3 linked regions of the Nothobranchius furzeri genome follow. The protein of the gene in region 1 purifies or fractionates together with the protein of each later gene. This does not show direct contact. Links are inferred from orthologs where the notes say so. Each region holds a gene or a part of one and is shown on either strand. Other genes may lie near its edges.

Region 1 (3,754 bases):
AGGAGACTGTTTTCATGTTCGGACGGCATGAAGAACTCTGAGTGACCCATTATAACCTAGAGGATAAAGTATACTTTATCCTTTACATTTGATGTCCCATGGGCTGTCGGAGCACCTGATGTCCTCTGGACGATGCCAGCGTGCTCTTCTATGACCCATTATAATCATTAACTCATTCACTGCCATTGAGGACTAAAGTCGTCATTTGCATTTTGTTACTGTGTGGGTGTCGGACGAGCCCCCGCACGGTGAGAACAAACAGCCGATCTTCATCCGCGTACGTCACAGGTCACGTGATCAGGAAGCAGAACGTCATGTGTTAGGAGATCGTTTTGGGCCGTTGCTGTAAAAAAAAGTGAGGCGCGAACCGGAAAAGCTTCTGCCGATCACACTTCAACAACGGATTATGAAAGAACGGATAACGCTCGAAACGCGCGGATTCTTCCTGATGTAAAAGGTGAGTCTCCATTTTGTTTTGGTTGTTTCGGCGTCGACATCATCCTAGCATGCAACGTTCTGTCACTCTTAAAAAAAAACAGTAAAAACGGTGAGAAACGCTGGCAGCGAATGAGTTAAACAATATTTCTCAGTTCTCCACACCTTTAAAGCTGCCTGTTATGTGTCAACAGCACTTTTTGTCCCTGATGCTCATTAACAAAAACAACACTGTAGTAATTACATAGTAATTAGATATGAATATATTTTCAGAAACACTGTTTTTGTTGCTCTCACCACTGAGTCTTTGCCTGGAGATTTCGTTGGAGGAACCACTGATGGTGCAGAACAGAAGAAAAAGAGATGAACAACAGTCTCAGTGTTTTCATATCTTTTTACAAAACAGCACAACTTACAACATCCAACTGCAATGACATCGTCATCGTCATCATCATCTATCTCAATGACTTCAGAGCACAGTCCATCTCCACCCCCTTCATCCTCAGAGCTGCTCTCTCGGTAGACAAGACCGTTCAGCTGATAAGCCTCCTTTACCAGTTTCTCACACCTCTTTAAAGATCTAAAAAAAGGAGACAAGAAGATGAGCTCGTTATAGATAAGCACTAATAAAACAGACAACCATTCCACCTCACTGGTTTGTGTCTTTGAGAAGCATCTCCGTCTTTGCCTCCTCTTCCTCTTTCTGTTCCACCCACTGCTTCAGTTCTTTCAACTGAGCTTTTTTCTTCTGCACCATCTCACTCTGTTCCACAGCTTCTTCAACCAGCTTCTTCAGATCATCCAAGGAAACACCCAAATCGTCCTCCAGACTCGAGTCCCAGCCGTCCACCTCCATTCTGAGGAGGGAATGCAGAGAAACACATTTAAACAGCGCTACATTTTTAAAAACAAACTCAACCGTCTGCTTTACAACCATCAGCTTAAACTCCCACAGATGGCCAGAATGAAGCATGATAACATTTATTTACAGCTTGGTAGTGATTAATTAAGTTTAACGAAAAGAGTTATATTCTTTATATATATATATATATATATATATATATATATATATATATATATATATATATTAGCATTTTTGTGATTTTGATCAAGTTTTAAACCTCACTCTGTGTGAAAGACATTAATAATACCTAATAGTCACACTCCCTAAATAACAACGCATTACTGTTATAGACGTGTCTAGCATACGGGTCATCATCCTTTATGGTAAAAACAGGATAAAATACACTCAAGTTAATCTGATTTTTTAAAGATGCAGTGAATCCATAAAAGAAATTCCAGATGCATACCAGTTTATCTGAATAATACACATGTATAAGATAGTAGATCACTAGGGACATCAGGAGTAAACACAACTTTCCCACTTAGTTGTTGCAAAAAAGATGAACTTATGAGCTGAACTTGAGTAAATAATAAAAATGTTGCTCATTTGTTGTCGGAGAGTGATGTAAAGCCCTAATGTCTTCGTTTTACACGTTAGATTTGTGCAGCAACAACAAACCCTTGTTGAGACGCATGCTAACCGGTTAGCTTAGCATGGGAAAAGAACAATTCTGATTTGAATGAGAGGTGCAGGCTGCTGAAACAAATATGTTCATTGCACAATAGAGAATTGCATCAAAAACATTCGTAACCTATGAAACATGTTCTAATTAACGGGAAAGCCACCCACCGCTCGCTGATCTCCATCATCTCGGACGCAGATGTAAAACTAGCTTATTCCGCTAATGCTAAAGGGTAAGCTACAAAAGATGTTTCGATTCCCGGGGTGTCCGAAAAGGGCGGTGTAGTAGATCGCAGCATTGGAAAAAAAGTCCCGCCCACGCAGGATGTTATTGTGACTTAATAATTGAACCGAGCCAAACAATGACGAGTTCGTTTGGTTTTCAGATTTTTTTTAATGTTTAGGAATGTGAATAGTTTTACGTGGGGCAGTTTAAAAGTTATACAAGTATAACATATTGCAAATTGTTTGATTTACTTTTTCATTTTACCGAATAAACAAGTTTATCAAATTAAATCAGCTATTGTGGTCAAACATTTACTCTTTTGTTCTGTAACTAATTGCATTTCTTTTTATTTTCTTTGAATATTTTATGCATTAATTGTGAAATCCTAATACAGTAGTTTTCATTCTGTTTGAAACAAAATATGGACCTTTTTTATAAATCAGTGTCTATCTACGTCTGTGTGAGTTAATTAGCTGTAGTTGGGTATTTATTTGAACTAATAACTAATAGTTTTATATCTGGCATGTTTTATTACAAACCACACATTTGTTCTGGTAAAATTTAGTACCTAAATATCTTAATTTTATATTATCTGGCCTTTTTAAGGTTCCATTTATTTAATTTAAAACAAGGGAGCTATGTTTATTTGCCAGCAGAGGGCGCAAAGTTCCCGTTCTTGCAAGGAACCAAAAAGAACTTCAGAGGAAGTGTTTCAATTAAGGAACTCTTTCAACTTTAGAAATCCAGTTCCTTATTCTCCTTCTACTCCTCGGTCTCTTCTTCAATACTACAATTTCCAAGAGAACAAAAAAAAGGATTAAGTTTTTTTAAGGCTCCATCAAACCAAGGAGGCTAAAATATTCTCTTCTAAAAGGCAAAGAACACAAGCGCAGTTACAGCTTTCATACACTGGAGGGCAGCAACTCCCCATCTTCACGTACATCCATTTTCTGAACCCGCTTGTCCGCGCGCGCGTGTGTGTGTGTGTGTGTGTGGGGGGGGGGGGGGTGCTGTCTCCAGCGGTCAATGGGCAATCGGGGGGTGCACCCTGGACAGAGAGCCAGTCCATCGCAGGGCAACCGAGGGCAACACAGAGACACACAGGACAAGCAATCTTGCACACACACGCGCACTCACCCTGTGCAGCCCCTCCCCATCTTTCCTTCTATTCTAAATGCTGTTGGACAAAAGTGTTCTATTTTTTGCCAGGAGAGGTCGCCAATTCCCAGTTCTTTCAAGGCAACAGAACACGGTTTTTGGAATCGTTGAAGTAAATATTTCTAAGGAACTTTTTTGACTTTATAAATTCAGTTCCTTCTACTCCGTCTACCCCCCCCCCCCCCTTTAATATTAATATTCCCAAGAGGAGAGAAAAAAGATTAAGATTTTTTAAATGCCCCGTTAAGATAAGGAGGCCAAAACATTATCTTCTAAAAGGCTAAAAAGAATACAAGTGCAGTAACAGCTTTCAGACACTGGAGGGCAGCAACTCACCATATTCCCTTCATTATGTATGAAAACAGTGTTGTTCTATATTTAGCCAAAGGAAGACGCAAATTCCCAGTTTT
Region 2 (3,754 bases), on another chromosome or scaffold:
GTGAGTCGGTTGCTCTTCAAACTTTTATTAATGTAGAAACACTTTGTCCAATTATTAACAGCTAATAATTAATTTATGTAGCCACTTAAAGATTATATGTTCACCATCAAAACTAGAGATAACCGATATGGGTTTTTCTAACGCCAATGTCGATAGGCAGAGGTCAGGGTCAGCCGATAAGTGCTGCTGATTCTTTTCGGCTAATTTTCATGGCTGACTTGAGATTTTTCACATGATCAAAATGACACAAATAACAACGGCAGATGTGAGTAATATTTCTGAACCTGAATCAGTTTTTGAACACTGAGTTGAACTAACTGTGGAATATTTGTTTTGTGTACTCCTCAGTATTAAAATAAAACATTTAACCAAAGTTTATAAAACAAAGATTCAGGAACATAAATATACAGATGTGCCAACTTTAAATTGGATTTACTAAAGAGATATATCAGCCGATGCCAATGTATAAGGTGAATATGGGCCTGATAGTATCGGTTTACCCCTAATCACAACTCACCGTTATGTTTTCAGACATATCCATACTTGTTTATGTTTATTCGCGTTTATGTTTATTTATTTAGCAGACGCTTTTATCCAAAGCGACTTACAATTTATAACCTATAGGGCATGCTGTGATCTGTGGGGGAAACCGGAGTACCCGGAGGAAACCCACGCATGCATGGGGAGAACATGCAACTCCATGCAGAAAGGCCACAGCCGAGTTTCGAACCTGCGACCTTCGTGCTGCGAGGCAACGGTGCTAACAACTGCGCCACCATGCAGCCTACTTGGTCAGTCTCATCCATACGTTTCCTATCACCCGTCACAATCTCTAGGTTACTGTCAAAGATTGCATAATTGACCCCAAACTGTTTTATTCTTGACTAATAGATTTAAAACTAAATAAAATAGTGTAGTTTATATATGTGCATCATTTTTATGAACGTGGGTGTTTTATTTTTTCTTCAGTGTTTGATCTTATGTAAATAATACATATTTACCTTGAATTAGTTTCTTGCTGGCATTATTACTTGACTTACAATCCATTCCTGAAAAGAGCAAAAACAATTTTTTAAAATACGATTATATGCAAAGTTGAAATACATTTCAGCTTATTAAAGATGATGACTTATTAGGCTAAAGGCGCCAAGTCTCAACTGTAAAAGCTAAAAGGATTCAAGCTTTTCATTTTAAAAATACCACAAAACTGATCAGACTTCAGTAAAACTCATCAAACTAAACACAATTACAATACCTGTGAATCTATTCGTTAACATCCTTGTAAAAATATAGTAATGGATTAATCATGGATGAACAATATGTTTGTGTAGTTTTGGCATTACTACCATAAGCAAAGCTAAACTGAAGGGTGCAGCTGTGCAGCCCTGGTTCTCTGTGCCGTCGCTGTGCTAACAGTAAAGTATCCCTGCTGGTGCAGCTCGGCTCGCTCTCCCGCCAACTACTGTGTCAACCGGTACTGCAGGCCCGAGTCTACAGGGCCAACACCTCCGGTCTGTCAGGCAGAGATTTGGTTGCCTTCTACGGACGACAGAAAACGTAGGAAATAAGAAAAACGGCTGCAATGTGACAGAATGATGGCAAACGCAAAACCACTGGCGTGTGTGTGACAGTCCGAGGACTAGAGGAGCTTTGACAGCTCCAATATAAAAGTAGCTTTCATGTTAGGTGTTAGCTTTGAGACCCTGATGCATGCTACATACCTAGCTGTGTCTAATCAAACTAGCCAGCAACTTTGAAGGACAATCCGTGAGCTACCAAAGCATTTGTCATTGTAGCATAGCAAGACTTGGTCGATGTGTAACCAGTCTATGGCAAATGCGACAAAGTTCCCACAACTGGTGTTTGGTCAAATAATAACATCCATTCTGTGAGACCGCTAGCTTTACGCAGAAGTTGTGCTGTAACGTTTATAAATTGGCATTTGGTGCAAAAACATAATTCAGTACAGAAGATCGGTGAAAGCTCTGCTGTGAAAAGGTTAGCGTTGACAAATTTGAAATTGTACAACATATATATATTTAATCGTTGATGCAATTTACTTATACTCCATACAAACAAAATAGCACAGCAGTTCTTCCACTATGACATTACTAAAACTTCGAGTAATCGATCATAATGTCGGTACACTGCCATGATGATTTTTTACCTCTTCTGCGGGGAGTCGATGCTGACAAATGTCCGTCCACAGATGCGTTTTCGGCTGCCAACATCCCAACTACTAACCCGGGGCTTTTCACGATCACGGTGTTAACGACAAAAACAACTTTAACACACCGCTAGATATAATGTTAACACAAACCAGTGCCTTTTAATATTACAAAACTATTGTGTCCTTATTTAAATGGCCTGCAATCTCATTTTATAACAGATAAAACATAGCTAAAACTCTTTCCGTGCCTCCGAAGTGGTCCCTTGGTCTACCCCGACGTCTGCCTCGCGCTCCAGAGTCGGAATTGGCGGGAGCCGGCTGCTTCCATCAATAACCTTCGCTGATTGGTCTAAAACGTTCCTCTGGTTCTGCAGAGTATGCTCGATTTGAACAACGGGTCTGCACGTTTGTGTCAACCTTCACGTTATGTGAAGCTTTTTGAACTTTAGAGAAAGAAAGGTTGAAAATACTTTATGATTTATATATTTTCCTCAATAATAAAGCCTGTAACGTTTTAGAAACAAGTGATCTATTTAATAAATTGCACTTTAAGCGCATACTATCCACCCGGTAATGGGACACTCTGTACCACGAAACGAAACGTAGCAGATTCATTTCTAAAGACACTCCTTCCAGTTGATGTTTCAGGATCAGTGATTGGGTGATAGGATTGACTTTTTTTTTTTACAATCTTTATTTAATACAACTTCAAAAACAAAAAAGCACATACCACAAATAATACCAACAAAAAGCAACAATAAACACAACAAAGCAAATGGAAAAAAGTTTAAATCATGTCAGGGATTTTAAAATTCAATAAATGTGGACAAAAACAAGCAGATAAAACTTTAGAAGTCATCTGCCTTGTGTTGGCCCTGAAGAGAACCCAATCATGAAAACTGTTCTGTTAAAAGAGGGCGTGTATATATATATATATATATATATATAAACTTAAGCACATTGAATTTCAAACCAAGGATATTTCAGTTTATGTTATCCTCAAATTTTGATTGATAATAATTTCATATGAAACGTGTTGACTAGATTTTAATGATTCGTTATTGTGAACCTGACTCAAGATGGCGCCAAATCCACATGTTGACCATTCTCAATTGAATAAGCTCATTTTCATTTTAACATACTTTTTTTATTTTTAAGTACACCGCAAACATTAGCATGTTTGTGTCAGTGAGAAAGTTGTCTTATGTCAAATACTGCATACAAGCGTTGCATACAAGCGTTTTAATTATATAAAATTTGCAACCATAATTCACACACTAGGAAGTGGGCGGGATACATTTGAACTGAGTCGTACCAATCGGTCATAGATGGACGTCGTTTATCATGTTGTCACGCGTTTTCCGTTATCGCTCAAGCCTTTGCAGGGATATGTAGTTTTTCAGAAGGGCAAATGCGTTAAGTACTGACGTTAAAAAACTACAAAGCCGTCAGTTGTGGCGCATGCGTGAAACGTTTGAAGGGGGTCGAAAAAGCGCATCCTGGATTATCCATTCCTGCGGTTGTCGACGGAAACGTGAGTAAAATAAACCTTGTCCCGGTAAAACGGGCTTATTTTCTTAATAT
Region 3 (3,754 bases), on another chromosome or scaffold:
CTTTTGCAGTGCAGTCTAACTGGATGGATCTTGATGCATTTTTGGTGATTGGCCTTGTCTTGTCTGAAGGTCTGTCTGCCTAATGCTGCAGACCTTGTCTGGTGCACGTGTGTGAGAAGGAAAAGGCAACAGTCGAGTGAGAGAACACAAACGCTCCCTCCTGATTCCATGGATCATGCGTGAATCTGTTTGAAGAACAGTCATAACACTAAACTACATCAGGTTAAATGGTTTACACAACTCAACGCACAGGAGCAAAGTTCTCAAGCCTATGTGAAAACATCACCACTGTTTGCCCTCTACTGGCCACATGTGGAACTACAGGTTCTTTATGAAGAAATGAGTCAACAAAATGGCTGACCCGTGCATCTGTGAGGAAAGAAAATAACACGCACCTGCTGCACATAAAAAAGATGTATCTGAACTTTACAAAGAAGTAATTGAAAACTTGTACTTGTGTTAAGGTTTTATTGTGAAAATTAATCAAATCTTAATGGGTGACAATTATCTGCTTACTTGGCTAAAAAAATAAACGAGAGCTGTGACAGTTTCACACATTTTCTGGCTTAGTATTAGCTTTATACATTAATCTGTCAGTGTTCTCATGTTGTGTGAGGCATCTTAAAGAAAAAAAAACAGAAAACAGAGCTCAGTTTCTCAAATGTCTCAAATACTGTACACAGAACAGCTGGACCAGCAGCACATCCTCACCATTGTGTGTGATGCCTTTAAACTTTAGTGTGAGGTGTAGTTTTTAGTTTAAAGAAAATTTTTGAAGCAGCTGCTCAGACAGGCTCCTCCTCCTTACAGCCCCTCCCCCTAAAGCCCGGGTTTTTGTCTGTCAGGAACAAACCATTCACCCCTCCCTCTCTATGCTAATGTGCAGAGCTGCTGCTGCCTGTCTGCACATGCAGAAGTCGGCTGTGGCTTTTTCTGCCATTCTGCTGCTAGGTTCCTCTGAGAGCCCTTGGCATAAGACCTGCCAGACCCTCCTTAAAAGCCTACCAGTCACCTCCAGGAGCAGATCATACGTACCCTGCCAGCTTTAGGTACCGGCTTCAGTGCCCACACCGACCAGGAGAGAAGCTAAAGAACGAACCGCGGGAGAAGTAAGACTCAGGTCGCGACAGTTAACCGACGTGAGCGACTTCGTAGCGTCTGCTGACTACCCCCGCCGCCGAAGACCGCTGACGTCACGCTACGACCAAGAGGTTTTTTTTCCCTCTTTTGTGCGTTTGCGCGAAAAAAGGTGGAGCTTAAATTTCAAGCTGAACCAACGGTCGGAGTGGACAACACCACAAAAGTCCGAGGCGGTGAAGAGCTCCTGGTCCAGAAGAAGACGATTTAGAAGCGCTCCTGGTGTTCCCTTCCACTTGTGGAAACCGGTGAGCAGCAGCTTCGCTCACACCACATCCGTACCTCCACACGCAACTGTGGGATTCCAGAAGACCGTAAGTGAACGGGATAGCGTGCTACGGAAGATCAAAGAAAAGCCGCTTGACAGAACGAATAGTCGGTGAGTGTAGATACTGCATGCTAGCTAACCAATGCTAATGCTTAGTTAATAAAAGCTGATATGTTTTGCCTCAAAGTAAAATAACCAGCCAATAATAGATTACACTTTCTTTTCGTCTTACGTTTTTCAAGCAGATTGGTCCTTTTTCAGGTGTTTTTCAAGTTTTGAGTACAGCGGCATTCGTTAGCTAATAGTTGGCTTGTGATTAATACACAAACATTTATTTATATTTCTCTTTAAGTTAGAGAATTAAGTTTTAAGAGTAATGCCATTTATGAATTGGACAGTGGAAAATGTAATTTTAATAATTTAAATGTTAGCTATACTGTATTCCTTTGTTGGTGCGTTACTGCAACTTTTTCAGAAATTAAAATGTTACGATCATGAAGAATTAAGAACATTTTTCCCGTAGCATGGGGAATTAAATTTACTATGAATAAGGCATTTTTTTATTTATTTGATAGCAATTGTGGGTGGAGCCTTTTCTGTCAGGTAGTCAGGACAGACTTGTATCTGATTGGCTAGTTCTTTTTGGCTTCACTTGAGCCAACTTGTTTTTGACATTAGAGGCAATTACAGTACTCCACAGCTTGTTTTCCATCTTGTATGTTAGCTTAATAATTACGATTTCTGACCTTTTATGAGAGAGGCTTAAAGTTTGTGATGTGGCGCAAAATTTTATGGAAGGATTTGTTGAAGTTTTCACACAATTTTATCCTGTTACAAGATGGGTTAAGGCGAGAAAACAGTTTTATAACCCAGATTACAGTTCCCTATTTTTCTTCTCTCCACAGAGCATGTTTTGAGCTAATTTTCAAGTGTATTGCTTAGTTAAAATACTGCACCATAAAATAGGCATACGTGAACATGTAAAACAAATTGGTAAATTTCCCTCAACCAGGTGATCAATTTCAAATCAATTTCCCTCTGGGATTAATAAAGTATTATTGAATTGAATTGGTGTTGCTCTTTTTTATATAGATTACAAGTTACACATATTAAATTCTACTACAAAAAAACTAGTGTCTTGGATGTATATGGGCCTCAGTTAAACAGCAAGCCTAACCTAATGACCTAGTCGTTATAAACCCAGCCCTAACAAGCCAGTTTAGCGATTGTGTAATGTTGGTGCTAAAACAAGCAGCAGACCTATCTAGCACATTGCAGAGGCAAAAGTTTGGGGGAGGGGCACATGGAAGGGCAGCCCTTGTGTTAGTTATTCTAGTGTAAAAGTGGTGATGACAAAGGAAAGGGGTAAAATGAAAAGGTTATGGAGGAAATGAATTCCCCTGGTCACTTTCCAGTCCATTTGTAAAAGCTTGTATGAACAGCTTGCACTAACATTCCTTACAATGTGTAAACTCCCCTCTTCCTCTGAAGTGGTACGGCCCAGTAATTTTCCATGAACAACACTGTGCTATAAAATGGGAGTGGCTTAATGTCAGTGTTAAAATTAGTGTTAGGTAGCCCCCCCCCCCCCCCCCCCCCGGTTGGTTTAGAAAAGGCATTGTCTTTAAACTGGTGACTTTAAACTGTCTGCTTCTTTCTGACACATCACATACATTAGTTAGCCATAATAAAGTAAATAAGAAATGAGTCCATTTCAACTTTAAAATTGAAATCCTCCATTGTAGCTTGTAAATATCATTTACAAACACACACCACAGTTTCAGATGTTCAACTTTTTGAGAAATGGTACAGCCCTGTTTCTTGTTTCACCTCCCCCACATCTGAGCTTCAGTGCGCACATGGTGCATTTGTAATTCAATACATAGACTGTTTCCCCATGCAGTTAAAGAAGCAGCATTTAAGGGAGCTACCTTTCACACCTTTTTCATTTGTATTTCCCGTGGAATTATTTAATGTCGATTGTTTATCCTAACTTTGCAGTAATTAAACAAATTCTTTTGCATAATGAGATGACCTTAAATGGTTAAAGTCTACAATTACTATAGTAATTATAATGTAATTTGTTTTAAGTTAAAGACTAAAAAAGTTAAAGGGACTGATGTAGTCAAACAAAATAGTGCCGGACAGGAGTAGGACTTGGGGAAACCCAAAAACAGCCCTTTCTCTGTTTGCCAACGCACAGTAACATGGTGCCTTGTGGAAGCTTCACATCAATGACACGCATACGTACATATACACAAACACGCTTGTGCACATATACACAAACACACTTGTCTGCCTAACATATTTTTGCAAAAGTGTAACTGGTAGATTCATTTGTGATGTAGA

The links.
Region 2: the proteins of setdb1b (region 1) and chaf1a purify together in Homo sapiens (affinity purification with western blotting; 3 studies listed by BioGRID and IntAct, with this or other methods). This does not show direct contact. The link is inferred for Nothobranchius furzeri from reciprocal best matches to the Homo sapiens genes SETDB1 and CHAF1A.
Region 3: the proteins of setdb1b (region 1) and atf7ip purify together in Homo sapiens (affinity purification with mass spectrometry; 6 studies listed by BioGRID and IntAct, counting the BioPlex papers as one, with this or other methods). This does not show direct contact. The link is inferred for Nothobranchius furzeri from reciprocal best matches to the Homo sapiens genes SETDB1 and ATF7IP.

The regions. Positions count from the first base shown.
Region 1 is NC_091745.1:76,219,297-76,223,050, reverse strand, and holds the start of setdb1b (histone-lysine N-methyltransferase SETDB1-B), read right to left. Parts: upstream 2,250-3,754; 5' UTR 2,149-2,249; coding exon 2,129-2,148; intron 1,293-2,128; coding exon 1,089-1,292; intron 1,016-1,088; coding exon 852-1,015; intron 771-851; coding exon 733-770; intron 1-732. UniProt on the Homo sapiens protein: Histone methyltransferase that specifically trimethylates 'Lys-9' of histone H3. H3 'Lys-9' trimethylation represents a specific tag for epigenetic transcriptional repression by recruiting HP1 (CBX1, CBX3 and/or CBX5) proteins to methylated histones.
Region 2 is NC_091748.1:48,299,281-48,303,034, forward strand, and holds the start of chaf1a (chromatin assembly factor 1 subunit A), read right to left. Parts: upstream 2,442-3,754; 5' UTR 2,232-2,441; coding exon 2,168-2,231; intron 1,050-2,167; coding exon 1,002-1,049; intron 1-1,001. Other genes in the region: scamp4 (secretory carrier-associated membrane protein 4), read left to right, coding at 3,632-3,704. UniProt on the Homo sapiens protein: Acts as a component of the histone chaperone complex chromatin assembly factor 1 (CAF-1), which assembles histone octamers onto DNA during replication and repair.
Region 3 is NC_091747.1:75,425,317-75,429,070, forward strand, and holds the start of atf7ip (activating transcription factor 7-interacting protein 1), read left to right. Parts: upstream 1-1,310; 5' UTR 1,311-1,516; intron 1,517-3,754. UniProt on the Homo sapiens protein: Recruiter that couples transcriptional factors to general transcription apparatus and thereby modulates transcription regulation and chromatin formation. Can both act as an activator or a repressor depending on the context.